Struthio camelus: one gene and its partners. The protein of the gene in region 1 interacts with the protein of each later gene in a pairwise test. Links are inferred from orthologs where the notes say so. Each region holds a gene or a part of one and is shown on either strand. Other genes may lie near its edges. The genes, in order: APPL1, FSHR, UBE2O and ADIPOR1.

Evidence for each region.
Region 2: the proteins of APPL1 (region 1) and FSHR interact in a two-hybrid assay, tested with the Homo sapiens proteins (2 studies listed by BioGRID). The link is inferred for Struthio camelus from reciprocal best matches to the Homo sapiens genes APPL1 and FSHR.
Region 3: the proteins of APPL1 (region 1) and UBE2O interact in binary tests that used the Homo sapiens proteins (3 or more experiments, as listed by UniProt). The two-hybrid records come from large-scale screens. The link is inferred for Struthio camelus from reciprocal best matches to the Homo sapiens genes APPL1 and UBE2O.
Region 4: the proteins of APPL1 (region 1) and ADIPOR1 interact in binary tests that used the Homo sapiens proteins (3 or more experiments, as listed by UniProt). The link is inferred for Struthio camelus from reciprocal best matches to the Homo sapiens genes APPL1 and ADIPOR1.

What each region holds. Positions count from the first base shown.
Region 1 is NC_090955.1:15,492,759-15,500,252, reverse strand, and holds the start of APPL1 (DCC-interacting protein 13-alpha), read left to right. Parts: upstream 1-4,489; 5' UTR 4,490-4,643; coding exon 4,644-4,697; intron 4,698-4,852; exon of another isoform or gene 4,853-5,153; intron 5,154-7,494. UniProt on the Homo sapiens protein: Multifunctional adapter protein that binds to various membrane receptors, nuclear factors and signaling proteins to regulate many processes, such as cell proliferation, immune response, endosomal trafficking and cell metabolism.
Region 2 is NC_090944.1:122,575,988-122,583,054, forward strand, and holds the start of FSHR (follicle-stimulating hormone receptor), read left to right. Parts: upstream 1-4,048; 5' UTR 4,049-4,071; coding exon 4,072-4,256; intron 4,257-7,067. UniProt on the Homo sapiens protein: G protein-coupled receptor for follitropin, the follicle-stimulating hormone. Through cAMP production activates the downstream PI3K-AKT and ERK1/ERK2 signaling pathways.
Region 3 is NC_090960.1:9,208,979-9,216,090, reverse strand, and holds the start of UBE2O ((E3-independent) E2 ubiquitin-conjugating enzyme), read left to right. Parts: upstream 1-4,107; coding exon 4,108-4,482; intron 4,483-7,112. UniProt on the Homo sapiens protein: E2/E3 hybrid ubiquitin-protein ligase that displays both E2 and E3 ligase activities and mediates monoubiquitination of target proteins. Negatively regulates TRAF6-mediated NF-kappa-B activation independently of its E2 activity.
Region 4 is NC_090965.1:3,954,628-3,962,577, forward strand, and holds the start of ADIPOR1 (adiponectin receptor protein 1), read left to right. Parts: upstream 1-4,947; 5' UTR 4,948-5,044; intron 5,045-5,363; 5' UTR 5,364-5,469; coding exon 5,470-5,613; intron 5,614-6,539; coding exon 6,540-6,656; intron 6,657-7,532; coding exon 7,533-7,704; intron 7,705-7,950. Other genes in the region: tetraspanin-18-like, read right to left, coding at 201-332, 1,027-1,110, 1,402-1,581, 1,828-1,926, 2,273-2,347, 2,962-3,156, 3,400-3,456. UniProt on the Homo sapiens protein: Receptor for ADIPOQ, an essential hormone secreted by adipocytes that regulates glucose and lipid metabolism. Required for normal glucose and fat homeostasis and for maintaining a normal body weight.

The DNA of each region.
Region 1 (7,494 bases):
TATAAGCGACACTTAATCTCCCCAAAGCTAACCATTAACTAGATCAAATATTTACAATCTATTTTTGGACTTTCTGAGCTTGTGGAAGATGCAGAAAACCTTCAGTAAGGTATTCTGATTTTAACTCCCACTTGGGAACACTCAGCAACTTGCAGGCTTCCCCCTTCCCCCCCCCCCCCCCAAGGGAAAAGAGATTGTGATAGCTCTCAGAAAGAATCTTCACAAAATAGGCCAAAACCCAGATATCTAAGTTTGTTAGACACATGTTGGAAACTAATCAAATAGTGCCATCTGGTGTTTATACTTGCCCAGCCATTAAGTTTGTTCAACAATGAATATTCAGACAGTTGAATAAGAAACTGTGCTACTACTAAAATAATCATATGATATTAATTTGCTCAGTGCTGAATTGATTCACACCCAGGAACAACAATGCAGTAACATATCAACATTCTGTTTTTAAACTGAGTTCTTGGCAGCAACTTATTATAGGAACTGGAAGCACCAATTAATAAGTTCACAAAGTGGACGTGCACATCACACTTTCTAATTTCTGCGGAATTCAGTGAAATTGAAACATCATATTTCTAAGAGACTTTTATAATGTTCATGCAGCTCCACATATCTTGTGGAGACTTCACAAACTGTTAAGAGAAATTATTCTAAAGATAACAAGTCTACTTCATTCCAAAACTATATACATGTAGAAATATATCTACCAGGAAGTCTGGCTGAAGACCAAACTTCCAAAGTTTGCGATACTTCTTTGGAGAGAAGCTTGCTTAGTTATATATAAAATATTTGTCACTAATGCAAAAATAGTCAAACCTTTCTATAAAAAAGTGAAAACAAAAATGTATTTTCATGGGGCAGAAAGGTTACAGTGTTTTAGATCTAAGAAGAACTGACAGTAAAGAAGTAGATTCAGTTTCTAGGAATTTCTACTAAAAGTAGAAATACAGCTTGAGCTTCCATTCAAAAATGACATCCCCTTTTATTGCTCATTTCTAATGGGCCAAGATTTCACTTGCAAGTCATGAATTTATCTAAAGAATTTTAAACAAATAGCTTTGAGTAAATAAATACCACAGCAATACAACAAACATTAGGTTGAAAATCCTGAGTAATCAACAGTCGAAAAAAATCACTGCTCCTTGGATGTACAGATCTGCTCATTTTACAGCACCACATGATTGGTGAGGTAGCTAACTCTAATCTTCCTTTCTGGTTTGGCCCCACTCACAGTTTTTTGCTGAGGGACAGCAGAGTCCATCTGTTGAGTGGCTGGAGCTCTTGTACTTTAGAGAAGTGAAGCCTCTAAGGACTCTATTTATAAATAGAATAGTCAGCTGAAGTGACCACATGAAGAGTTCTTGGTGGCTTCCATCTAAAACCCCACTGGTCACTGTTGCTACCTATTAGCATTGTCACCTATTGCTACTCCACTGCCAAGTCACCTTTCACAATAGCCTGTCCAGTATCTTTGGCTTTTTAGAAATAGGCTAAATGGTGTATATACATCTTTCTTGATCACTTATCACACGAAAAAAAAAATTGCCTTTCATCTCACCTTTCCCACAGCTCCTTCACCCAAGTGCAGCAGTATCTCACTGCCACAGACATTCCACACAGAGCTCCCCTCCTGATACATTTTGAATGTGAATGTTATAGTCAAATGTTATAGTTATATAACATTATAGTCAATGAATGGTATAGTAAAAGCCAGCTTCAAAATTTAGAGGTTTTTTCGTTTGTTTTTTTAAAAGGTAAGAATGCCTCAAAACTGCTAATGTTTCTCATAAATAAATAAAAGCAGTTAGCTATTTCTTGGCTGAGTTAAAAGCTATTTTGACCCAGGAAGATTAAATGAACACAAATAAATTCAAGGTAAGTCCAAGGGTGGCACCAGCAAAAGTTTGAGAAAGCGCATGTAGATGCAGATAAGACTTACCTGATTATCCAGACAGCGACTTTCACCCTCCAGCAGAGGCAAAACGTTCACTCTGTTAGCGGACCCATCTGAGGCCCTCTAAAGAGCCGTTGACTGCTCTTCTCCCTGTTTATACAGGGTCAAGCGTCAGTTACCCGCACTCTTACCGTTTCCTAGCAGTCATTGATACAAAGAAGAAAAAAAGAATCACAGAGACTAACAAATATATATATATATCTATCTCATTGAAAAAGACTGATTAGTGCGTTTAGAGGAATTCATTATCATCCAAACTTGTCTGCTGCTGTCAAACTTGCATCCCAAATAACACCTTCTGATGCCTTCTAACATTTGTAAAAAAGTATATGTAGCACAACAAGACCAGTAAGACATTACAGAATGTTTTATGTAACAGATTTACTTAAAAACCCTGACTAATAATTAAAAGAAGCTGCATTATATTACAGAATTATGAAAAAGATCCCTACTTGCTATTAAAGCCAGTGGCAAATGGACCACTAATTTCAACAGAAACAAGACACGTTTTTATGCTACGTGCCAGCTGAGATACCAAGACACATTTCTACATACTAAAGACATGTTGTCAGTGTTTTTTTTAATGAAACATTTAGTTCTCTGATTTAAGTGCTGTTCTTCTCAACTCACAGCAGCTAAACAAACACATTTTTCTTCTGTCACTTAAAGCTGTAAAAATATAAAGGTAACAAAGAACAACTCTTTTTAAAGTTACTTGCTACCATCTTAGCATTTCCTGCTAAGGAAATGAATCTTATATATTATGTAAAATAGAGAGCATTTCTTACAGAAGACAGCTGTAAAAATTGGTCACAAGTTAACTGATCTCAAAACCAGAAAGTTATGCATATATATATCTCATGAGAAAATACTAGTGTGCCATACAATAGTTATGGATCCAATCATAGCTCAGCAAGTAATATTTTAATGCAGAAGACCAAACAAGAAGATGAAAGACTTAATCTTTAAAACACCTTGTAAGATAACTCTATTATTGCTCTCATGTGACAGGGAAAGAGTATTGACAGTGAAACAGTGTGACTTGCCTCAGGCCACATGAGTCACTAGCTGAGCTGGTAAATGAACTGACTGAACTGAGCTGTAACACAGAATTCCTCACCGCTCCCTAAAAAAAAAGAAATTCTCAAAAAGCTGTATTTGTTTACAATTTAATACCAGCTTTTTTCTTCATTTGCTTTTAAAAGCAAAATGTAATCTTATACAAACATAAAATAAGGTCTTCATAATAAGACTGTACAATAGTTAATCATTTGCTCCACCGGCTAATTTAGCCTACTTTCTAATCTGGTTGTGTATTAAAAATATAAACTGCTTAACCTGCAAGAATAATTTAAAATACAGTAACTAGGATCAAAATGTCCTGGTCTCAGAGCTGTAGAAAGGGCAATTTAAGAACATGCTATTTTTAAAACAGTGCACAATGACCTGGTTCAATTCTAATAAGCCCTCAGAGCAGCCTCAGCCACTTAGAATTGGCCACCAATCTGTAGCAGCAAGTTCAGCCAGCCAAAGAAACCAGAAAGCCCATTAGGACTGATTACACCCTCCTGAAGGGGAAAGACCACACTCTGCTCTATAAAGAGTATTTTTTCCATTCAAGACCCATTCAGGAACAGCAAGTCCTCAGCTGAAACCGTGACTTTGTAACAAAAAATACAAAGTATTTATGGATAGAAAGAAATCCCTTCCTGCTAGAAGTCCTGAATGATGATGGAAGGAGACAAGAGACAGATAAAAGGGGACTTCTCAAAAGGGGTGTTCCTGGTGCTCAGGAGAGTGCTTCTACCACAACAGGGCCACAATAGCATTATTCCCACTGCACTTCTGCCCCCAAAATGATCTCTTTTTTTTCGGGGGTGGGGTAGGGGGTAAGACAATAACAGAGTAAAAAAAGACAAAATCCCACTAGTTACAGTGAGGCTAGAAGAACATACTGAATTAACGCACAACGCCTGTAACTCCAAACTCAGAAGAAAAAAAAAAAAAAAAACAGCGTTTTCCCAGCAACTTTGCCTGACAACCATCTCCGTCAGGCCCGCAGAGCTCGACGCCTCAGCGTGGAAACAGCCCTGCGTCAGTGCTTCTGACTCACCTCCCCGGACTCGGGGCAGCCCACACGCACCGGCTGACAGGGCGCCCTCCCGAGGAGCGAGAACAGCTCTTCCCCCTCGCCCACTTATACTGACGGGGGAAGGAGGGGATGCTAACGAGGGGGGGGGGGAGGGGGAGGGGAGCAGCTTACGGCAGGGGCGCGGCGAGCACTGACGCCCAGAGCCGCGGCGCGACCGTTTAACGGCCCGCGCGCGCCCCTCCCCCGCCCCGCAGCGAAAGGGCGGGATGAGGGAACAGACCCTCGCGCCCACGCACGGGCGCGGCGCGGCCCGACGTGCCTCACACCGCCCACGTGCCCCCCCAACACCTACAGACAAACTGACGCAGCCGCGAACCAATAAGGAGTTGGACAGGCTGAGGCGAAGGAACCAATAGGAAGAACAGAACCGGAAGGGGGGGCGGGCGGAGAAGAGCAGGCGGGACATCCGGCGCGAGGCGGCGGCGCCCGTGTTGTGAGTGGAGGGAGGGGGGAGGGGCCCAGTCAGCTGGGTGCGCTGTGGGGTGCGGGAGCTGCAGCGGCGCAGAGTCCACCCCGGCGGCCGCCATGCCCGGCATCGACAAGCTCCCCATCGAGGAGACGCTGGAAGACAGCCCCCAGGTGAGAGGGGCCGCGACGCAGCTGGCTGGGCGGAGGTTAGGCCGGGCCTCGCGCGGGGGCACTGGGTCCTGCGCCACCCCCTTCCCCCTCCCCTTCCCCCGCTCCCTCAGGGGCTCGGGGAGACGTTGGCGGCCGTTGGGAGAGAGAAGCCCGACCTGGGAGCGGCGCAGCGACGCTGCTTGCGGGGCCGGTTGCCTTCCTGTTCTCCTCGCCTCTGGTGCGGGAGGGCTTCGGCCGTGGGCTGGTCGGCCTGGGGCCGGGAGTCACGGCTCCTGGGCTGTCAACTCCGGCAGTGCCCCGGCGAGGTGTCGCTGCGGCGCCTTCTTCCCGCTTGCATCACCGCATCGCCTCAGGTGTCCTGCGGGTTCATTAGCTGCTTACAAAGTAGCGAGCTTAATGACGATTTTCTAGAGATACTGTGCTGCATATGCAAGTGCTTTTGCCTCGGGCGTCACTGTGGTAGCTTGTCCCTCCCTTCCCCCAGCGCCAGATTTACATTCATGATTTATTTTGGAAACCTCGTGTTGAGAAAACCTTCTTTACTGGATCCTTTACTTCTCAAGAGGAGTTTTGTTATGTGTGTATAGTTTACTGAAAAGACAAAAGGTTTACTAGATAAATATGAAATGCAGTTGCTGAATGATATCGTGATGCTTGTGAGAAGATGGGAAATGCATGGTGCTGAGAGACCTTTAATTGCTGTTTTCTTCACTTCCATTTCTGCTGCTTGAACTTTGTCAGTGATGCCATATATTACGTTACTATTTTTTACTATTATTAAGCAGGAAATGCTTTATTCTGTTGTACTGGTTTCTGTTGTTGGCAGCAACAAGTACTTTGCGCACTCTTCCTAGGCATGAATGAAAGTTAGTTTATAATATAGTTTCTCATATGTCAACGGTTAGAATTAGCATCATTGTTTTGCTGCGTTGTCTATGTAGATGAGCAAGATTTCTTATATTGTAATAGCATGTTCATTGATACTTTTGATTCCTCAGCTGTAGAAGAGGAATCTACAGAATGGCAGAAGAGAAACTGCCATTTGCTTAATATGAAATATTTACCCCTAGAATGACAACCATTTTAGCAAATCCACATCAAGTGGAGGGACTGCTTAGAAAAGACAACAGAAGATCATGTCGCGAATGCATCATTGCATTCGAACAGAGTGTGCCCCGTGTAACTCTAATGCCAGATGTCATACTGAGTTTCAGATGAGAGCTAACCTGTAGTATAGTCTCTGGCCCATCTGACTGAAATAAGGAAAAAAATCTGAATGCACTATAGTAATACTAATTTAAGAGAATTACCCATTGAAGATCTGTTCTCAGTGTATGGAAATCGGAACTGTTTTTACTTATAGGAAACGTTTTGAATACTGAATTTGTCTTACACATGACAAGTAGGATGAAGCGTTTTCTTCAAGCCCTTTAGACTGGGACATCGTTAGGGAAGCATATGAGAGAAGGTTACTTATTGGAACATGATTGTAAATTCTTTTATTGCCTGTCTAGAATCTTTTCATTTGAGGTTATCTGTGATAAAAACTGATTAGCAAAGCCTAACTCAGCCCAGTGCTTACTTGTTGATGTGCAAGATTTGCTTATATCTTCTCCTGTTTTAAGAACAAAATTTTACATCTTTCAGCCAACCTAATATTTCAGGTGAATTCTGACTGATCACCTATTAGAAAACCATGGCGGCTTAGTTGCTTTGTTTCATTACATCAGTTCATTTCTGTTACTTTGAAATCAGCATGGTTAAAGACACTTTAGTTTTGTTTTACTTAATCACTGTCAGGTTTTACTCTTCTGCTTCTGGTAGTGGATAGTGTCTGATGCCATAAATGGCAACAAGTGATCCTTGAGGAAAGAGGAAACCCTGTTCCCTTCAGGAGTTTTCATGATGCTCTGATTATGATGAAGTGTTCATAATGTTTTGCTGTAATATTGAAGGAGATCATCAACCTAGACAATTGTTTTGTGGTGAATTGTGGACTGGAATTGTGCACTTTTAGACATGTTTGAGACTGTGATTTTATTTTAAATAAATATCAAATCAAACTTGTTCTGCATTTGAAGGAAAGAAGTGTTTTTCTAAAATGGCAATGCCATTTACTTTGTCTTGATGCAAGATAAAAATCTAACCGCTCTGGCTTTGGACATAAACCAAATGCCAAGTTTACATTGTTTTTGCTAAGCGAAGGACTTTGATTCAAATATCAATTAACTTAGTGCATATATTACACACATGTTCTCTGTCTCTGTATGTGTGTGTATATATATGTATATATATAGAAGTATTTAGAGAGAGTTTCTGCTCAGACTTGATTCCATTTGCAAACCACTACACAATGAAAGAGCTAAGAGACACGACAGCACAGGCTCTGCCTCACGTCACTTGCAGTACAATATGTATGATGGTATCGAATGCTTAACGATTCACTGGCTTCTCACTAGATCATTTCTTTGTGTAGCTTATCTCCGGTAGCTTCTAGTGTACCTGCTCTCATATATGACATGAAAGAGTCTCAAATAATATACACAATTTCTCAAGTTTTTGCTAGAAACAAGAGTAAACAATTCCTCTGACTTTTAAGCTAAGCAAAGGTCTGTCATTACTTGTTTCCAATTTCAGATTATTTTTCTTTCCATCAATATGACATAGGGTCAGTCTGAAGTCTGAGAATCAATAGCTGATTATTTTACGATAAAACATAGAAAGTACTTTCTTCTGCAGTGTTCTGTTTTAAAAAGTAAAGATCATCCAGAAACCTAGCATGATATTCCTTTCAAAT
Region 2 (7,067 bases), on another chromosome or scaffold:
TAAAGGTAACGTTACAGTGGCATTCAGTAGTAGTTCAGTAGTTATTAAAAGAATATATACTTATTACCCCTAATGTTTTGTTTAAGAGCAGAGAAACACAAGTAGAAATTGCTGGCTTGTAGGTTTATTTACTCCAATAGCTGGTAAACTTTATGCCTTACAAAAACAGTAGCATTTAGATCTAAACATCAGAGCTGTGGAAGAAGGCATGACCGTGTCAGTACACTGCTTTAGAGGGAGTATGTGTTTGCTCAGTATATTTAGAAGAGGTTTGGTGAGAGCTGGGGCGGTTCGTTTTGCTTCCTTTTGTAGCCTCGGCAACCCAGATGGCAGCGTGGCCTAGGGCAGACACCTCTTCTTCATCCAAGGATGCGATCCGGAAAAGGCCCCGGTTCTTCTAGTTCAGTACTTGCAAAATTAGGCCAATGCTAATATCAGTGGTCAGTCCTATCAACTAGAGTCATTTATTGTTGTCTTAAAAGGGAGCCCTCAGTGACCATATAACCTTGAATTCACTGTCTACCCCAGAAGACATCTAATTACATAAACTCAACAATGATATCGTAGATTATCTGTCATAATTCACTTCATTGCATGTCTGCTGCTACAGTGGTTCAGTTTGGGGAAATTTCCGCTTTCTTGTTCAGGAAAACAGTATACATTCTTAAAACTGATTTACCAGCTGAAGCACACATCTTCTACAAAGGGAAGCAAAGACAAGGAAGGCTCTTAAAAATATCTGAAAACACCATCATTTCTGAATTTATACTTTCATCAGTATGTACGTCAGTGACAGTGTATCCCCACCTGCCATCGGCACAAGAGAGGTTCTTACTCCCAGCCTGTAATCCCATGAAGGCAGCAAGGTGAGTGCTTGGGGCCTGTCAGCAGAGGCAGGAGTTTGCCCCCTGTGTTGCTGTGAACAAGCTATTGAGGAAGAGGTAAGAAACCACCGGGTATTCAGGTGGCAGAAAGGCTCAGGGCATCTTTCTGTCTCACTCTAAGCAGCTCTCACAGACCCCTGCACCAGGCCCTTGGAGTCTTCAGGCGCAGTGGTAGTTGCAGCAGCAGCCCTATGCTCAGGAAGGGTCTGTGAACTTCACCTCCCCCAAAGTGACTGGCGGGAACCTTGGGATTTTCTCCCTCCTTTCCAGGTTTTTTTTTGTCCTGAGAGGAGACAGGTGTGTGTTCCTGAACGGGTAGCACAGCCATCAAGAGAGGATCATCAGCTGATTAATTCATTCGTGGGAATGTTATGATGCAGCTGTATGTCGTTTGACAGCAGTGAACTGAAATTAGGAGAGAGATTTCCAATTCAAAAAATTGATGGACAGCGCAGAGTCTGTTCTTCAGGATTAGAAATTATATGTATAGAATGACTCAGAAATCCTTGAAAATCTCTGTTTATCCTCAGGTAATATTAGTGGGGTTCCAAATTAGTGCTTTCTCTAATACTGATGTCAGTTCCATTTTGCTTGCTAGTCTGATTTTGTTGAATTTAATGATAACTGGATGTTTTCCTCAAAGTCCTATCTCTATGCTATTCTAAGAGAGTCTTGTTTTTAGTTATTTAAAATTAGCATCTCACTCTCAACTTGTTGCAAATGACTGTGGAGCAATGTGTATAGTACTGATAAAAATGCCTTCCAAAACCAAAACCAGAAAGAGCCATCCTCCTTCCAGTTTTTCTTCGTGAGTCTCATGATTTGCATCTGAGCCAGAGATGATGTTTTAGAATGTCTGTGTTTTAGGAGTTATGTTAAAGAAAGCACATCTGGTACAGTGTTGAAAGTCATTAATGATTGGAAAGATCTCTTGTATCTCTAGTTATTTTTTTAATTTCCTGACTTTTCACATATAAAACGGTAACTGTCACCTGAAACAAATTACATAGTTTGATATATGAAACCCAAAGCTAATCAAATCGCTGTGTTTTCATGTTGGTACCATTTATTTTGATATTCATAGAATGTAATTACTTTTTTCTTAATTTTGCCATAAATATGACTATCTATTTCATCAATGTAACATGGCCACTTATATTGATATATTTCAGAATGAAGGAAAATGCCTTACATTCTTTCCTAACCAAGTGTTCTTGTGTCCCACATATTCCTCAAGCTTCATACTTTTTCAGACTACTTTCAGTCTACAGCTGGAGAAACTAGAGCCTTGCTATTACAACTGCAAGAACAAAAAATTTATACGTATGAGTTATCTTCCTGGCATTTGTGTAAATCCTAAAAGTGTCTCGTTAGTCCAACTTGCAGCGGCCTACGGGAATTTTTTACACCAAAATTAAGTGGAAATTTATTTCATCATAGGACTTAGTTCTGCAGTTTTCATTTCCCTCAGCATGAATGAAAGTAAAGATTGTATTCATTTCAGTAGAGCTTGTAGGTCTAAGATCTTTAATAGTTTTAGGCAAAGAATGACAAACAGTCACTAATATTTTAGATTTTTTTTTTTTTTTGCAGCCGTTTTTATTACCCTGACACTTATTCAGAGCCCTTAGCAAAACAGACTGTATTTTACATATATAGGTAAATTAATCCTCTTACAATTCATTACAAGTCTACCACCGTTGGGAAGAAACTGTCATGATCTCTTACCCTTTTCTGTGAAAATGTCACTGTTCTGATCTTCAGGAGGTTTAATTTGAGTGAGGAAAAGTAATAAAAATTTGGTGATACTTTATAGAATTAGGGTAACTATTAGGATAACTTAAAGAATGGGTTAAATTAGTTTTAAAAATCATAATCATCTTCAGAATCATCTACAGTTTGGAGCTTATTTCCATTGTGAGAATGGTGAAATGTTTTGACCAGAAAATTTCAGAGAAAAAAGAAACAATCTTGTGTTTCATTAGGTTTGCTTATGCTTTTTGATTATTGGGGTGGGGGGGGAACCTCACTGCTGCTTCTAACAAAAGTAAAATCATTCTGAGCAATCTGGAGGATTGAATGTGAGTCCATTTCAACAGAATTACCCATGGAAATCCAGCTTAACTGGATTTAACATGCACGTAGCTTCAAAGCGCTGCGTGTCTGAGAAAGCCATTTACAGATGGGAATGTAAACGACACAGTTGAAAAAAAGAGAAAACTGTGTACCTCAAAATTCCAGTTTCAAGTGTCTTACGGACAAACCCTGGTTCCTGATGATAAAGTGGTAGAATGACTCAGTGAAAGGAAACAGCAAGGTCCCTTCCTCAAGGATTAGTATTTGTAACAAGAAAGATAATTTAGCTCAGTCAAAAAATAAATAGATAAGCACTCAAAGACAGCATTCAGTTTCCAGGCCTTATGATGCTGTTTTTGAAGTTTTCTCCTCCTGTTGTGTCACAAATAGCCACTTCTTTAACTCTTCAGGATTTTTTTCCAGATGATCAAATAAGCTTACGGTTCTCAAGGGACCATTTGGATCATGGCTTTTTCTCCTGCTTGGGTTTCTTTAAGGATGCTGTGGAAGAAAAGAGTCAGCTAGGGCATGTAGATCAAACACAGTTGAAAATAAAGGGGTGTCATTTAGCTTTGGCTTTAGGACTGCGTAGCTTTTAACCTATAAAATAGGTTATATAGCCTATAAAATGCAAAAATAACACATTTCTTTTGCCTAGGAGCAACCTACCAGCAGGGACTCTAGGATCAAGGAAGGGGAAACATAAAATCCTTTCTCCCTCTCCAGGGAAAAAAGAGCCCAGGCTGCAGAAGGAGAAAATGCTTTGTTGGCCCTTGGTCTTAACCAAACAACGCATGCAAAGTAGCATAGCTGAAAAGAAAGACCCTTTTTTTTCAGTGCAGATATGCAGTGGTGTCAAAAGTCCTACGGCTAGCTCAGTTAGGCCATGATTTCACTACTTAAAATATAAAATAAGTTTGGCTTGGAAACTCAGCGTTGCTTCTCTTCGTCCTCACTCTAAGACCCTAAAGGATCACAGGCCATGAACTGAAACTTGCATAGAAGTCATCCCCTAGGAATCACATGATCCATCTCAGCTTTTAGGGCGGATCTTCAATTAAGGGAGTCACTCTTAGTTGCACAGGGAACTTGCTGCAGTCCCTTCTTCTAGATGGAGGAGAAGGGAACAGATGTAGAAACAGACATGTCTCTTATTTTTGCCTATTTACTGGTTTTCCTGGCTGGCTGCTCTGGTTGTCAGCATCACACGTGTCACTGCTCTGGCAGGATATTCATTTGTCAGGAGAGCAAGGTGATCCAGATTCCACGGGACATTCCCAAGAACTCCACTGAACTGTAAGTAGGGAAAGGGAACGGTTGCAAGCAGCAGCTTTGTTGTTGTTGTTTTAAATAAACTGCTCTCTGGCAAGCCAAGAATCAGTTTTGTAGGGAATCACTCAAGAGTCTTGTACCGGCTGTTTGAAAAGCGCAGCAGTTCCTCTGACATTCTTTAAATTACAACTTGAAATGTCTCTCTGTTACTGTTATGTTCATTTTAAGATCTCTGTTAAGAAAAGATACGGTATTTTATAATGCAACGTATAGAGGAAACTTTAAACAAGCCTCCTCGGCACTGTAACAGTAATTTGAAGCATAAAGTGTAAGCTTTCTTTACAGCTCGCTTTAGCATTATTGAAATGTGTGGTACAACTTGTCTGCCCCAAACAACTTGATGAGCGTTCCTGTTTGCACTGCAGGAACTTCGCAAAGGTTTGTATTTATTTGCCAAGAAGAAATTTCTTGTTCTCATTTGAAACTGTGAAGACATTTAAAAAAAAAAAAAAACTAATAAGGATTCAGAGTGTGACTCTCCTGTATCAAAGAAGTAGTATGACTGCATTTGGTGAGAAGGAACAATGTAAAGATACAGTACTGTATTACTCAAGAAGGAGTTTTGTCTATCTTAAGGCTTCTCTTTGTTTTCCATAAACATGACATAACATGAAAAATGCTGCATGGCAACTGTTTTCTGTGTCAGTAACACAGGCTAGCAAGAGAATTCACAGAATGGCAAATATTTTAGCAGTCCAAGTGATTGTTTTACTCTCTAATTTTTTTTTTATAGCAAGTTATATCACCTCATATAACACCGATTACATACACCCACAGCCATCTAACATCATTAAGACCTAAAGCAAAATGAAGGCAGCAGTCCTGGATAAACTCTGTTATTAATAACTGGAGCAGCAAGTTTGGAGAGAGGGTATGAGGAGGAATGGTATGTCACTAGCCTGATCTTACAGACCATAATATTATCAGTGCTATGCTATGCTACAGTTTTTCTAGTGGAGAAGTTTCCTTTAATTGAGAAGGAGTAGTCATTATGTTCAGTGAATAAGTAGGTTAAAGTAGACTGTGGTGAAAACTTGAGAAAAATATCTGAATTAACTGCAGAAGGTCAGTAAAAGTTTAAATCAATCTCACAACTAGAGGAAAAAATAATCCATTTGTGATTTAGGTCATCTAAATCCTGAGTGAACCATACTCCAGGTATTTTGTTTAATTTTGCTTTGATTGTTTCTTTAGATTACACAGTTAAGGTCTGCCTTCTTGGGATTAAGCAAAATCATTCTACAATTATTTCTGAAAAGAAATAGAGTTTTATATCACTAAAAGGAACCTGTTAGTAAGTGGAATTTGTTTGCAGTGGATACTTGTTAACTTTTCAAGAGTTTGTTGAGGTTGCTAGTATCTCAGAATGACTCTATGTTCCCTGAAACAGCTGAGTAGGACATTAGTGTGACTGAAAAAAAGAAAAAAGGATTCACTTCTTGAAGTGTTTTATAAATATTAGCGTCAGAATCTCTTCAGCTGATTCTCTTCTCATTTGCACCAACTTTTGGTTCCTCAGGAGATAATTCTCATCCCATTAAATCAGTGATAGTCCTGGGATTGATTTCATCCTGGTTAAAGAATTTGTCCATAAAAACTCCGTGAAGTTACTTCTGATATATCAAGTATTAATGTGAATAAGCTTGATACATTAGCTGAAGAGTTAAGTGACGGATAAGCCTTAGGTTTTCATTCAAGGTTAAAAGAGGGGCTATAAAAAGGTGCCTTCCTACAGTCACATCTGTATGCTGAAGGCCCAGTGGGTTGATTCAGCTGGCTAAGATAAGGTTTACTGCTCCAGCTGCTGTGGCAACACACTGTTGGTAACAGAGAATAAAAAACCTCAAGGAGTCACAGGGCCTGTAAAACCCGTGCAACAGCTTGAGCATAGATGGCCACAGTGTCCAACAGTCTTGCATAGGACACAAGCACAGACATGTTTCTACTATAAGTACAGCTCCTGCACAGTGAATTCTTTCATTTAGGAAAGAATTCTGGGAAGATGCTGGATGCTGTGGTCTATTTACCTTTGACATAAGGGGCAGGAGTCCTCTTCAGTAGGCTCTTCACCTTCTCTTTGTGGCCTTGATAGCTTTCCTACTAATGTCATTTAGATGTTGAATGATACACAGGCGAAAGCTTTGGAGTGAGAACAGGAGCCTGATAAGCCTTAGGTGTGTTTGAAGAGGGAGCACTTCCCTATTTCTGTGTTTTTCTGCCTCACCATGGCTGTTTCAGTGAATACAATGGTACGTGGCAACCAGCTGGGTCACTTACTGAGAAAAGTCAGGATGAAGGTAAAAATATGGCCATCTCAGACCAATCAACTGTTATCTCTGTTCTTTGCCATGGACTTTTTTTTTTTTTTTTCCTTTAGGTCTGTGGCCTTGGCATGTGCTGCCAGGATCTTTTTTGTAACCAGTTTGTTGAGGGTGAGCGCTCACACTCAGCAGTGAGCGTGAGCTTTGCCGCATGGTATAAGAGTTGCGATTTTTGCTTCTAGTTGGCTTGGCACCTGCTTTAGCATGTGTGTCAGAGCAGGAAGGGTTGGCAGTCTCACTTTCTGAGCGACTCCTGTTTGTACTTAACATATTGTAACAGAGCAGGGACCAGAAACAATGGGTTTTCGTTCCTTTTCTCATTGCCATGTCTGCTGCTCAGCTTGCCCGCCAAAATCTTGGGAGGAACGTTATGCTTCAGTTTGTATGTTGCTACTTGCAGATCTGAGAATACTGTGCGGTTGGCATGCGCCAAGTGTTTTCAGGAGAAGACTGT
Region 3 (7,112 bases), on another chromosome or scaffold:
GGTAAACGCCTGTTCTCCTTGTATGCATAAAGATCTGTGTCGTCCTCTTTCTCCCAAAACGCACGGCAGCCAGCAGGCCTGCTCCCTCGGGCCCCTTTGCAGCCCTGCAGCAGAGGAGCTGCAGCCCACGAGATGGCACCAGAGCCTTTCCTCAGCTGAGGTGACCGGGCGCCTTGCTGCAGCCCTGGCACCCCCGGGCACCCTGAAGGTACCCCTGGGTGCCAGGCAGCCCTTCGGCCCGCAAAGCCCTCGCAAAGATGCCCCGTGAGAGATGCATCTCACTGCACCCAGCACCAGCCAGGTCCTGAGGAGGAAGGGCAGGGCTTGCTTTTCACAAACCTCTCTGTGTGGAAGCAGGTAAGCCAGGGATGTTACCCAGGCAGTTTATTCGCAAGGAAGATACTGTGCTGCAAAGAGAGTAAGTGACAGCAATTCCTAAAATAGTCCAACACCAGCAACTGTCCGTAAAGGAGGAGTCTGCTTGACATGTGTCACTTGCGCAAGTGCTGGGTGTTCAGACCACCTGCTGAGTCGAGTTGGTTCTCCAAAAAAAAATCACACACACAAAACTGCAGGATGCTTCTTGGTGTTGCCTTAGTATTTTGCAGAGTGGTCTGACTTGCTGGGGTCCCTCAGCGGAGATGTGGGATCCAGCCCCAGAGAGCTAGTACTGCCTAGCTTCTTGACGGGGAGATGCTCACTAGCCAAGGACTGTCACGCCTGAAGCATCTCAGTGGTGTTAGCAGCCCAGGCCAGGGGCTGCTGGCTCCCAAGGAAAAGACGAGCCTTTCTTCAGTGCCACTTCCGAACAAGAGCACATCAGAGCCCTGTTTGAGCTCAGAGTGCAAAAACACACCCAGCTCGACTCCTGTTAGCAGCCAGCTAGCCCTGCCTTGGCCCCATTAAACCCCCCACGCTGTGAGCCTGGCTGGTTGTATAAGGTGATTGCTTGTATGGCTATTTGTGGCTACCTGAAATCCCGCTGCTGCTCTGCAGCGTGTAATTGCTCTGAAGAGGGACAGTTTCCATCTACACACAAGTTTACGCCCATTAACTATATCTATATTTTATAAGCAGCTGTTACTGTGTACATTAAGGAGATGATAAGAAACATCACCACGCTGGATACACATTGTGCTTTAGGCCTTTCGTGGAATGATGAGAAGGACATAACGCCAATTCAAATGGAAGAAGAGGGCATCTTGTACCCCTCCAAAGGGCCTGATCCTGTTCCCACAGAGAAAGGCCACAATTGTCCCTGACTTCCCAGGGAGGGAGGCTGGCACCAGGCCCACAGCACCTAGCGTGGGGGTGTGCCAGGGCTGTCTATACAGGCCTTGGGAGATGTGCCGCACACCCTTCCCCAGCGCAGCTGTGACTGAGTGACACAGGAGGGTGAAATGGTGCTGGCGGCACAGGCGCGTTTGACAGTGCTGAGCACTGATTTTACACCCCTCGTCTCGTTCACCTCACAGTGGTCCCTGCCCTCTCTTGCTTGTGGATGGGGATCTGCATTCCCACAAGCCCATCCTGCCCATATCGACAGCTGTATAACCACGTTACGTCGAACAGATATTTAAACTGTCTTTCTCCATATTTTTCCACCTGGACAACATTCTCTTTTAGCTCTGTTCTATTCCTTATCCTTGGGGTCAAGGCCGAGAAATGCTCCCCTAGGGAACTACACCAGCAAAACACCCCTCTGTTTAAAATGATGCAGGCTGTTAAATCCTGATGTGGGGGTCATGCTGACCTAGGACCCAGAGGGAGGAAGACACTGCGAGCTGTTGCAACGCTTGCAGCTCCCTGCTCTGGAGACAGGTCAGGAATAGTTTGCCCTCTGCCATCAATGAGAGCATCCCAAAGGCGGCCCGAAAGCGTGCCCTGCACCCACCGCTGCAGGAGGACATCTCAGGAGCTGGGCAGAGCGGAAACGTGATCCTGCTCCTAGTACCTCTCCCTCGTGGGAGATGCCCGCTGCAGCGAGGGCTCCGTGCACAGCCAGGCTCCGGATTCGCACAGCTAGTGGGTGCTGTTTCCTGGCAGAGAAGGACTAGAAACCCAATGGAAAAATCCAGGAACTGCTTTAAAAATAAAAGCTGTGTTTCCGGTCCCTTTCCTGAAAGAAGAAACCCTGGAAGGAGAAACTACAGCCAGCTGGTGGATAGAGCCAGGCCAGCCCTGGGCTCGGGTTTGTGGGAGTGAAAGGAGGAGATTACTGCTATGCTGCTCTTGTTTTCTTTTGGTAATAAAATGAGTCAGGCTGAGGATTTCAAGCATTTTCCTGATATTCCAGCCAGCGCTGCACAGACGGGGAGATCTATGGAGTGAAGTGACAAGATATCTTTGAGTAAAGGACAGGCAAATAAGGCTATTTGGGATGCGCTTCGCCCTTCCCCTGCCCGGGTAGCGAGGCCCTCTCAAGAAATTATTTTTATTTCAAAAATCCCTGCCGATAAAAGGGAAAATATCCACAAGAGTCAACGAAGCCAAACATTGGGCTCCTTCGCACACCGTAACGAGGATTTCTAGGAGTCATAAAAAGCCAAGCCGTGCTTTCCTGCCAGCTGGAGAGCACCTCAGCACCCGGAGGAGCGCATGACAAGGGGCAGCGCCCCGAGCAGCCCAGCCAGGCCGGGCTCCTGCCTCTTCCCGCCCCGTCTCCGAGTTTGCCTTCAAATGCCTGTCATATATTTTTTAATTTTTTTATTTTTTCCCCTCACGCGGAAGGTGGCCAGACCTCGATGGTGGCTGCTGGTGCGGGACCTGGCAGGAGGCTGGCCCGTGCCTCGTGCGCCCCCACGCTCCCTTGGCCGCGCTAGATCCAGAAGCTCTCCCGGACTGGTAGCACCAGTCTAGGCTGGAAGGGAGGAGATGGCGGGTGGGATTCATATCACTCGGACCCTGAGGTGGCGTCCTGGGGGTGTCGCGCGGCCCCGGGCGCGGGGGCTACCGAAACGCGGGGCGGTTCCCGCTGTGACTCGGCCGCAGCCCCTAATTCCCTGGGAACAACCCCGCCGGGAGGCCGTGGTGGCGGCGGGAGCCGGCGGAGCACGGGGGCTTCGGGCCGGGAGGAGGAGACGGGCCCGGCTGCGCAGGGTCGCTGCCGCCCCGGGGGGCGCCGCGGCGGGAGGCTGCTCCCCCTTGGTGCCTTCAGCCGTCTCCCCGGAGTCCTCCTCTCTGCCCCCTGGGCTTCCTCCCCCGCCCCGGCTCCTCCTCCCCTCTCTCCCTCACCCCTTCTCCTGCCTCCATCCTCGGGCCCTCCCCATCCCTCTTCCCTCAATCCCTCTCTCTTCCCTCCTCCCTCTCTCCCTTTCCTCATCCCTGGCTCTCCTCTGCCCTCCTTCCTTCCTCCTCTCAGCCCTCTCTCCGCAGTCCTCTCCTTCCTCCCCTCCTTCCTCCACCCCTCTCCCCTCAGCCCACTCCTCCCTCCATCCCTCTCCCCTCACCCCTCCCTCCCCTCAGGCCCCTCTCCTCAGCCCTCTCCTCCCTCCATCCCTCCCTCTCACCCCTCCCTCCCCTCAGGCCCCTCTCCTCAGCCCTCTCCTCCCTCCATCCCTCCCTCCCCTCAGGCCCCTCTCCTCAGCCCTCTCCTCCCTCCATCCCTCCCTCTCACCCCTCCTTCCCCTCAGGCCCCTCTCCTCAGCCCTCTCCTCCCTCCATCCCTCCCTCTCACCCCTCCTTCCCCTCAGGCCCTTCTCCTCAGCCCTCCCCTCCCTCCATCCCTCTCCCCTCAGCCCTCCCTCCCCTCAGCCCCCTCCTCCCTCCATCCCTCTCCTCTCAGCCCTCCCTCCCCTCAGACCCCTCCTTCCTCCACCCCTCTCCCCTCAGCCCTCCCTCCCCTCAGCCCACTCCTCCCTCCACCCCTCTCCCCTCAGCCCTCCCTCCCCTCAGGCCCCTCCCCTCAGCCCTCCCTCTCCCCCCCCCGCGCAGGCCCGGCGCCGCGGTGGGCGGGGCCTGGCGGTGGGCGGGGCGACGCGGTCGGGCCCCGCCCCCGGGCCGTTACATGCGCGGGGCCCGCGCGCCGCCCGCCCCGCCCCCCGCCCTCCCCTCCCCTCCCCCAGCCTGCGCCGGCGGCCGCGCGCTCTCCCCGCTCTGCCCGGCGCCATGGCGGACCAGCCCGCTGAGGCGGCCCCGGCCCCCGCCGCCCCGGCCCCGGCTCCCGCCGCGCTGCCCCTGCCCGCGCCGGCCCCGCCGGGCGGCTCGCAGCGCCTCCTCTTCTCGCACGACCTGGTGTCGGGCCGCTACCGCGGCTCGGTGCGGTTCGGCCTGGTGCGCCTCATCCACGGCGAGGACTCCGACTCGGAGGAGGAGGAGGGCGGCCGCGGCACCGGCGGCGGCGCCGCCAGCTCGGGCGGCTCCGAGTCGGGCGGCCCCGGGGCCGGCGGCGCCGAGGAAGGCCGCGCCAGCCCGCTGCGGCGGGGCTACGTGCGGGTGCAGTGGTACCCGGAGGGCATCAAGCAGCACGTCAAGGAGACCAAGGTAACGGCTCGCCCCGGCCCCGGCCCCTGCTCGGGCGGGCGGCGGCGGCGGCGCGCCCTGTCCCCCCCCCCCCCCCCCGCCGCCTTTGCGGCCTCCCCGCCGGTTCTCGCCGGTTCGGCGCGCGGTCGCGGGGCCTTGTCCGTCCCACGCGGCCCGCGCCGGAGGCCTCGTGGGGCAGGGGCCTGCGCGGCTCTGCCCGGCCGCGGAGCCGGCCTGCGGCTCCTTCTCGTGGTTATCCCTCCGCTCTCGCCTGCCAGAAGTGCCGCCGCTGGCTGCGTGCTGCGTCTGAGCGCCGGAGGTGGACTGTGTCCTCCAGAGGCTGAAATCTGTTTCCCGTCTTTCGTCATGCTGGAGTGAATCCTCCTCGCCTCCTGCCTGGAGTGAACGCTGCTCCTGCGCTTCACCGGTGTCGAAACGTAGCCGTTTCTCCCAGGCACTGGATTTTAATGGCACTAGAGGAAGTGCAGTCGGGGATTTGAGCTAGTTCCTAGTAGAGGCAAGCTCTCCGACCCTCTCTTACTTGCTGGGAATGTGCTCCAGTGTCTCTTCGGTGGACAGCATCATGGTAGCCTGTTGTAGGGGAGCCAACAGCTAAACGGAGTAATCGTGACTAGCTGAAATCCCAGTGGTGGGCAACCGTGGTTTGGATTTGCCCTTGTTTACATGAACGTTTACCTCTCTTGATGAGGCCTAGGTAAATCTGTGACCTTTTAATTACATCCAGAGAGCCACAGGGTTCAGGGCACTTCTTAGGCCTGGGTTAGAACGTTGCCACTTCCCAAAGTTATTCTGGTGCCAGATTTTGCACAGAGTGACTGGCAGTACAGAGGAGACAAAAGAGAGAGAGGGGGCACTGTAATATAACACAAAGGGGCCTGCGAGGGATGGGCGTTGCACTGAACAAAACAGAAGGCCTGCGCTGTCCTTGCAGTAGAGCGAGTCAGAGCGCTGTTCTGGGGTGGCAACTAAAAGCAGGAGTCTCCTGGTATGCCATCTGCTCTGCTGTTTAGCATTCTGCTTGATTTTTGAAAGGAGGAAACGGAGAGAAAGGTGTGCTGTGCTCCTACCGAAATTGGTAGGATTGCCCACGCTACCAGAATGAGCTAAATTTAGGTGATAGTGTCACTAGGCATGTGACCAGTAAGGAGATGAGAAAAATGAAAGCAAGGTATCAAGAAAATATATTTCCACATTACGTATTTCTACATTAAGAAAAACCTTCTTTCCCTAGAGCCGCAATTCAATCACTGTAGCCTTCAAATAAAATCTTTGTGTGCTGTTACATCAACATATGTCCAAAGTTGAGTGTTTTCAGCCTCTAAATGAGGCCACTTCAACTTGAGTGATTAAACATGGACTTAGGAGTTGTTACTGGATTCCCAAATTCGGAAGTGTTAGCTCTGACTTTAGTCACTTGCTAACTGTACCCTGCGCAACATTAGAAAAAGCTAGACTGCAGAGGATCAGAAGTTAAAGGCAATTATGTAAATAAATGGTCCTCTTTCTTTCCTTTTCAAAGTCATATCCCTCTGATGTAGGCAGCTTTACCATTCAGGTAATAGCCCCTGGGGAAAAGTTCCCTAAGTGCCTAAGGAATTTAGGTGTACTCCCGTCATATTGATTTTTTTCCATTTAAAAAGCTGCCCGCTGACAAAATGGATAGGCATTGTGTACAATCTGCGCTGCAGTTTAGGGTTACTAAAAACAAATCTGACGCCACTGGAAAGGCGCTGCAGAACTTCTCATTTCATGGTTATAGCTGGGTTTTTTAGCTTTCCTCTAACCCAGCCCTTTCACGTTATACTAATGGGTGAACCAGCCAGGTAAGCTGACATGCTTGTTGTTGTCCGAGCTGGGAGGGGTACGAACCATAAGGACCACGTGGTTGTCCTGGGCCTAAAGTTTGTTAATTTTTAGAATGTTGTTGCCAACCATAATTATTTTGGCCAGGCCTCTAACTCTCCAGCATCTTTAGCTGTGGAATTCTATTTGATGTCTTTATTATGTTAACCTCACTGTCTTGGTCACAGTCAGCCCCTGGATTCAAGAGAGTACCTATTCCGTTTCTTTGAAGGTACCTTTCATTTCCCTGCGATCTTAATTCTGTAATGGTCAGAGGATAAAGGTAGCCCTGGGGTCAGGGCTCTTGCTAGCCTCATCTTGCACAATTGTATACCTGTTCTGTACGGTAATTTTTCTTTCCCATGTGAAACGCTTGTGTGCCTGTCTCTCTCATGTGGATCCTTCTTTGTCAAGCGCTTAAAGATCTATGAACCCTGGCAGGTTTATTGGTAAGAGCATGTGTTGTAACTGAGGAAGGGGAGAAACAAAGTTGTTGCAAATTTTGAGGACAGTGAAAGAGTACCTTCAGCTTCCAGTGCAAAGGTTAAATGCAGTTGTTTATAACCAGAAAAACTGGATTATAACCCTAGAGATTTCTTGTGTTTTGCTTGAACTTTGTGGGTTAAAACTTTTTTTTTTCCCTGCCAGGTACTATATAGGCTAATCCTTTTTACTGTTTTTCCTAGATGTTCTATGCTTACCTTTGTTCTTTCCTGTTGGAAATGGTAGGCAAACTGCCGCTTAAACCCCAGCACACAATTACTGATGTTAATAAGTAATAGAAACTT
Region 4 (7,950 bases), on another chromosome or scaffold:
ATCAACCATTGCAGTTTCTAGTTTGCTGTCCCTGCATCAAAGCAAGCTGAAAGCAGATGCTAAGCAGAAGATGCATTTAAACTACTTTGTAGTGTTAAACTCTGGAAATTCTCTAGTAAGTCCGCAGGCTTGTCTGTGAGGAAGTTAGCCTGTGTCCTGTAGATGCAGGACTCCAGGCTTCTGCCTGCCTGAGGAGGTAACTACAGTGCTAAACTAAAGAGCCGTGTTCTGATGTGCAAGAGAATGGAGTGTCCTGGCCTGTTGCCGTTTCCAAAGCACTTGGCTTGTCTCTGCTGCACCCGCAGCGGTCGTGGCGTCCTGCTCCTAGCGTCCTGCTCAGTCGAAATTGTAATAAAGGCAAAAGGCAAAGAACATGGCAAAGATCTGAAGAAAAAGGAGGGGCGGGGCGGGGGGGAACAGGTTATCTCCCTGTTGCAGGGCAAGAGCAGCCTGCAAACACTCCAGCCCCTTGAGACAGCCGCCAGCTGGAATCTGACAGCATGAGGACTACAGGACCCAGCTGTGCATCTGTTCTGGCTCTAATCAAGGCAGGGGGTGATGGCTGTGCCCCTCGCAGGACCACGCACCAGCTGCCCTTTTGCTGCACAGTAAAAGCTGTGGCTCAGGGGGCACCTCTGAGCTCTTGTGAGCTCTGCAGAGAGCCTGCTGAGCAGCAACCCCCTGCCCCGGGCCTGTGCTGCAGGAGCAAAATAAACCTTCCCCCCCTCCCTCAGTCCTGGAGCCATCCCTCCATTTATCCAGCTCTTTCCCAGCAAGCAGGAGAGTTGGGCAAGAGCTTTATACCCCACAGACAGCCTCACTGTAGGTGCACCCACTTCATGGCTGTGGTGCTGGGAATTAGAGGCTTGGGTGGGTCCTGCCTGAGCAGATCTGCGGTCCCTCTGCAGGCATAGAGCGTTGTCCCTTACCCTCCTGGCAGAGAGCCCATGTGGGGTGACCTGCTCCCCACCCTGTCCTGGGTTATAACCAGTACCGTTCCCATCAGCCCCATCCCTCGCTCAGTACCTCGATGCCCAGCACGGCCAAGCTGCAAGCCCCAGGGACAGAGGTGTACTTCAGCAAGGTCCTGCCGATGGTGGAGAAGCAGCCCTAGGGTGGAGGAGGATGATTTAGGGACTCCATGGCACTTCTCGCCTGCTGCAGAGCTTTAGAGAGTCACCAAGGGGGCTGGGGGAGATCAGGATATGTGGGAGAGCACCACGGTGGGACAGGATGAGCCAGAGATTTGGGGAGCTGTTGGGCTGCAGACCCACAGCACAGGTAATGCACCGGGCTCCTGCTCAGGGGCAGAGGACAGTGGTGTCCCATCAGCACGTGTCAGGGAAGCGCTGGGGAGGCCAGGGACATGGCAGGGCAGGGCGGGTGCCCATGTGGCTCTACCTGCTCATGAATGTAGCCAGGGCTCCTCTCCCGGCACTGCTCCCAGCCCAGCAGCTCGCCTGCCTGCAGGAGCCCGTCCCGGGTGCAGCATGCCTGCGGCCAGGGCATCCCCGGGTGCAGCTCCAGGAACCGGGATCCATTCCCAAAGTCCTCAGGCCCTAAAACGCCACAACACGAGAACTGAAATGGAAGGGAAATGCCATCAACATGCTGTCGACACACAATGGGCCTTCACTCAGGGAGGTGACGGAGGGAGGGCATCCTGGGAGGGGGAAAAGCCAAGCGGGAGCTCGGTGTCTGTCTGGGGTCCATGAGCCTGGTCCCCACATTCAGGGTGCCCCTGAGCTGAGGGCTGGTGGGCCTCAGCAGGGCCCATGGGTGCCTCACATCCCTGGGCAGCCTGGTGGGTGCCCCCCGGCCGCTCACCGTAATCATGAGGGTGTTCCAGGCCGTGGAGAAGACCTTGGTGTCCTCATCCCCACAGTAGTTCCTCCGCAGCTCGGACAGGAAGAGCTCTGGACGGATCTGCAGAATTAGTGCTGTCTGCGGGTGCCATGGGACCAGCGCCAGAGACGGGGGCCACAGGGGGCCGCGCACCTGCCCTCACCCACCCCTGACCAGCGCTGCACCAGGCAGGGAGTCACCTCTCCAAGGGGACACAGGGATCCATCCCCTCCATAAGGCTGGGCCAGCCAGGCTCAGGCTTGCATCAGGGTGCTAGTGATGAAGTTGAGGGCGAGGCAGGACATCCCTGCACTGGTCCCAGTCCCTGGCCAGTTCCTGGCGGGCTCAGGACCATGCCCCATGGCCTAATGCAGGGAGGAATGGGGCTGGCCATGCCGGGCACCACAGCAGGGTAAGGGCATGGTACCTGTTTCCAGTGCACCAGGAAGAGGACAGCCCCCACAAGCTGCGTGACGAAGACGAGGCTCACGAGGATGAAGAACTGGAAGGCAGCAAGACGGAGGGGTCAGAAACCAGCCCGACCCCAAGGACGGCTCGCTCCGGCTGTTCCTCTCCGCCTCTGCAGCCATCCTTGCCTGTGTGCCTCCCCGGTGCCTTTGAGACCAGCAAAGGGAGCAGGGACCAGTGTGCAGTTTGTGGGGACAGATGCATGTCTCAGCACCACAGCTGCAAGGCTAAGCTTTAAAAACGAGCGCCAGCTGCCAGAGTCAGGGGACACCAAAGAAATTGTGGCGCCTCCCTCAGAAAGGGGTTTCTAGCCCTCACCATCAAGGTGAAAAGCTCGGACACTGCATGGGGCAAGCCAGCAGCTTCAGAGAGAAATGAACCCAACGAGTGGCTTTATAAAATCCCCTGGGTTTTAAATTCCAAGTCTCACAAGGTGGGGGCTGGATTGGAGTACGATGGGGCCAGGCTGGGGGTCACCAGGCTCCTGGCTCATGTGGGGCTGCCCTGAGTCCTGCGACTTCCTGCATCCTACAACACCCCGTATCCCCTGGATCCCTGCATCCCGTAACACCCTACATCCAGCGGCACCCTGCCCGCCTGGCTCCCTGCACCCCGCCGTTCCCTTCCCAAGCAACTCCCCTCACTCACCACCAGCAGCAGCAGCCGGCTCTGGCGAAGGGCCCCGAAGCAGCCCAGGAAGCCCAGAAGCGAGAGGGCGATGCCCACGGCCAGCAGAAGGTAGGCGCCTGCACTCAGCACGGCCTTGGTGGCCACGATGTCCTGGAAACCAGCCGGGTCCACAGCCACCCAGACCCCCACACCTGACAGGCACGTCCCCCCAGCCTGCAGGACACGCCACGGTCACGGGGAGCAGGGACCAGCCCCAGCTACCCCACAGGGGACTGGGGATGCTCTAACATCTCCTGGGGTCACCTCCCTTGGACTGGCGCCACCCATCCCTGAGCCTGACAGACACCAGAGTGTCGTGCACCGGCTCCCCTCAGGTGGGATCAGCCATCTCTGGCTCCAGGCACGGCACGGTGCCAGCTCCCCTCCACCCATCCCACCGGGCCCCGGTGGACTCACAAACACCAGCACGTTGAAGATGAACATCAGGTACTTTATGCAGCTCAAAATACCCATGGGGACACTGAGGGGATGAGACGGTCACAACTCTGCAGACAGACGGCAGCACGGCGGTGGTGTTCGTCCCTGAAGAGGAGAGAGCAGAGCCCTGGCCCGCAGCCGGTCCCAGCACCTATCCTGCATCCCAGGTCCAGTGGGATGTGGGACCTCCCCTGCCACCATGGAGGGGAGGGATGGGGACAGGCACTGGGAAAGGACTGGGAGGAATCTGTCTCCTTGCAAACCTCCTCCACGCTTCCCAGCTCTGCCCTGGCACACACCAGATCTCCTTTTCCAGCCCCGGCTCCTTACATGGGGGAGCGATAACCAGGGTGCCGTGGGGTCAGCAGCGGCCCCGTGCGTGGAAAGGTGCTGCACCCTTCCTGAGTGCCCCAATGGAGCCAGTGCCTCGTGTGGGTGCTGAGAGCCCCCAAATCCACACTTAAGATTTCCAGGAGCAGAGAGGGCTGAGCCACAGCATCCCCACAAAGGGACTGAGCCCTGCGGGCCCCCTGGCTTCCCCAGGGACGAAGCACAGCCCCACAGAAACCCACATGCCCAGAGCATCTCGCCAGCCCCACAGCACAGTCCGTCTGCCTGCCCTCACCCCGCTGCTCCCCAAAACGGTTCGAACCCTACATCATCACTCACCCGAGAAGGGCAGCGGGTGGCCCGGATGCCTCTGACCTGCTCTGGGGCTGCCTGCGACTATTCAACACTAGAAAGGTTGGAAAAACTTCCGCCACCCCCCCCCCGCTCCTGGGGGTGCAGCCCCCCGAGAAACCCCTTCCAACGGCGGGGCCATGAATGATTGATGGGGGAACAGGATTCGCCATTGTGCGAGGAGGTGGATGTAGGGCAGCAGGAGAGCCCGGCCCCGGGCTGTCGTTAGCAGAGGTAATTAAATCTGGCCCTTGGCGAGCGTGGAAAGACGAGCCGGTTGCAGCGGGCCGAGGGCGACCTGTGCCATGAATTATTGCTGGGGACATTTGCTCGGTGCGTTGGCCCGGCCGCTCCTCGGGGAAAGCCTCGTGAGTCTGCAGCGGGCGCCGCTGGTGCCGCCAGGCCGGAGCCTGCGAGCGGGCCCAGGCCTGGCCGGACGGCTCCATCCCGAGGCCGCGTTGCCATGGCAACAGGGCCCGTTGCCCCCCCCTAACGCAGGCCCCACGGCAGCACTAGGCCCGGGTGTCTGTCCCCTCGCTCCCCGGTCACGCCGCCGGGTGGGGGCCCCCCCTGCACCCTCCCGGGCCCCCGCCGGCCCCGCCGCCATCACGGGACTCCCGGAGGTGGCGCCCCCTCTCCCACCCCAGGGCGCCCGCAGGGGGGCGGCCGCCGCGCGCGAGGCCAGCGAGCCCCCCCCCCCCCCCCCCCGGGCTAGAGCGCCTCCCCGCGGCGCGGCCCTCCCCCGCGGCTGGCCCAATCACCGCGGCCGGCGGGGCGGGGAGAGAGAGGGAGAGACGGCGGCGTTGGCCAATCAGAATACGCGAGCGCGTAGCCCCCGCCCCCGAGGGGGGTCCTCCTCCGCGGGGCGGGGCGGAAGCGCCCCGTTCGCTCCGCGTCGCTTCCGGTGCCGCCGCCGCCGCCCCTGCGCGGGATGTAGCGGCCGGTGAGTGCGCGCCCGGCGTGGGGGGGGGGGAGGCTCCGCCGCTCCCGCCCCCCCCCCCCCACCGGGACTTTGAGCGGGGTGTCCGGGCCTCCCGCTGCCCCGCGGCGGCGGCCCCGGGCCAAGCGCGGGTCCCGGCCCGGCCCGGCGGGGAGGTCGGTGCCGCTGCCGGGAGCGCCGGGGCGGTACGGGTCGGGGTCGGGGTGCCGGTCCCCGCCGGTCGCGGGGGGAGCCGCGCGGAGGGCCCGTGCCCGGTAACGGGGCGGGGGGGGGGGGGCTGCCGGGGCCGGTGGCGGTGACTCTGCTCTTCCTCCCTTGGCAGCGCGGCGGCCCACGGACGCGGAGGGGACCTGCACCGGCAGCCGCGGCGTCGCCCCAGCCCTCGGCCACCAGGACCTTCCCGTCGCCGCCGCCCCCCTCCCCGGTCCATGGCGTCCCGCAAAGCCGCCGCCGCCGCCGGGCAGGGCAACGGGCTGGCGGCCGCCGGCCGGGAGCGAGCCCACCTGGAGCTGGCCGAGCTGGGGCCGCTCCTGGAGGAGAAGGGGGACCAGGGAGCCGCCAGCTCGGCCAGCGTAAGCCCTGAGGCCCCCCCCCCCCAACCTCCGCTCATCCCTCCCGCTCCGCCGGCGTTTCGCCCCGTCGATCAGCCCGAAGCTGGCGGGCGGCCTTAGCGGGACGTGCTCCGGAGTTGCGGCCCGATCCGTTCCTGCTTGCTCAGGCTCTTCCACGCTGTCCTGCAGGATTAACCTAGAAACGTGCCCCTTATCCCATTAGCAGCTTGAAGGATGCAAGCTGGAAACGTAGTGTACTTTTCAAAGCCCTGAATCTAGTAGTTGCTTTTGAGTCAGTGCAAAGAGGGTGTGAGGTGCTTCGTTACCCAAAGGCTGACAAGTTGTCCGTGCTGTGCTCAAAGCTGTCCAAGAACCTGTCCCGAAAACTTCTCTTATTTTACAGGCATTGACTTTGTGCAGAGATGTCAGCCAAGATGTGCTGTCCTTGTATGCCAGCACAGCTGCTTGGAGTGAACGGGGTGCTCTTAGTCATTCAGCTGCTTTCTGGCCCTTAGGGCTAGAAATCACCTTCCCAAACCTGCTAATGGAAAAAGAGGAGAGAGGAAATTGAGGCCCGGACAGGTAGATTGTACCCAGCACTTGTGGGAGAGCAGTGGGAAGGCTGTTTGCCCAGAGAGACAGTCGGATTTTCTGGGCCGTTCAGCCTGGCTGGACCCAAGTGGCTGTTTCAGCCTGCAGGCTTGGTTGTAAGGATAAAAATCCTCCCCTGTAATCCTGCCTTTAAACAAGAATAAATCTGGGATTAGCCTGCCTGAGATGGTTAAGAGAGTAACATGTTGCATAAGCAGTGGTGAGCAGTGGGCCCTGTCTGTGCCCTCAGGGCAGGATGAAGCCCCCAGGTGCTCTTAGAAAAGACTCGCCGTTCTCTGGTGCTCTTGTTTCTCTGGGGAGCCGGAATGATTTCCTCCCGGTGTTTCTCCCTCTAGGCTGAAGACCCGCCATGCCCAGCGACCCGTGAGGAAGAGGAGGAGGTGGTCCGTGTGCTGACTCTGCCTCTGCAGGCTCACCACGCAATGGAGAAGATGGAAGAGTTCGTGTATAAGGTACAGGAGTTTGTAGTGATCCCCCGGCCCTGATTTTGGAGAATGAGAGAAGCCCAAAGGCCCCGGAGTGGGGTTTGGACCGCGTCGCTCTGCCTGGCCCCGGGTGAGGAGAGCGCTGCGCAGCCGGGCGGCTCTGCCTGCAGTCTGCTCTGGCTCTGCTCGCCACCTGGGCCTGGTCCCAGCAGTGTCTCCGGGGAGCGATGTGGGAAGTGGATGACAGCAGCTGGGAAGCGCCAGCGTTCCCAGTCGGCAGCTGGAGGTTGTGTCTAGCCCCCTCGGATTAGCGGTAACCTCAGGAGCGGTTTGGAGAGCGCCGGTGCCTCTGTGGGCATCCAGGCAGGGATGGGGAGCATGAAGCACTGCTGCCAGTTTGCCTGGTGCCTCCGCTCTGCCCCAGGCAGAGCAGTGCCTGCACTCAGCCACCACTTTTGGGTGAGCAGTGACACAGGTGCCTTGGGTGAGGCCGAGACCCAGGGCACTTCTGTCACTAGAGATCCCCTTTCCCTGACCAAACTCAAAGGGAACTCCCTGCTGCAGAGAACAGAGAGATTGCTGATGGTGTTGATGGGTTAAATGCAAGGGTGTGGATCATCTTGAACTCCCCGGGGGTGGGGGGAAATGTGGCGAGTGCTCTGCAGGATGTGGGTGGTTTAAGGGGTCCCATAGGGTGTCTGATGTTGCAAAAGTTGAACTTCCTCTTCCAAGGGAGAGTTACAGGGACCTTTTCAGCCTTGGCCGTAGGGAAGAGTCTTGGTGGTTTTGTTCCATGTGTGACTTTGAGCTGCCTGGGGCGAGTAAACCAGGGCCTCTGGGTTGGCTTGATGCTTTGGCAAGTGCCAGCCCCAGTGGTCACCAGCATGGGTTGGTGTGTTGCAGGTGTGGGAAGGGCGCTGGCGTGTGATCCCCTACGACGTGCTGCCCGACTGGCTGAAGGATAACGATTACCTCCTGCATGGACACAGACCTCCGATGCCGTCCTTTCGAGCCTGCTTCAAGAGCATCTTCCGAATACACACCGAGACGGGCAACATCTGGACGCACTTGCTAGGTGCCTGAGGCGGGGCTTGAGCTGAGGACTCGGAGGACCCTTTCCCGCAGGCTTTAGGGGCTGGCTAGGGCGAGACCAGGCTGCGCTGTGGCCGTTCTACCAGTGCTGCTTGGTGGATCTGCCAGCACAGGTCAGATGAGCTGTTTCTACTCTAGGGAAGGAAAAATGTACGTTAGGTGTAACAGATACTTCATAACGCTTTCCTCTGAAACTCAGGAACGGGCTAGCAGCCCTTAAAATAACCCT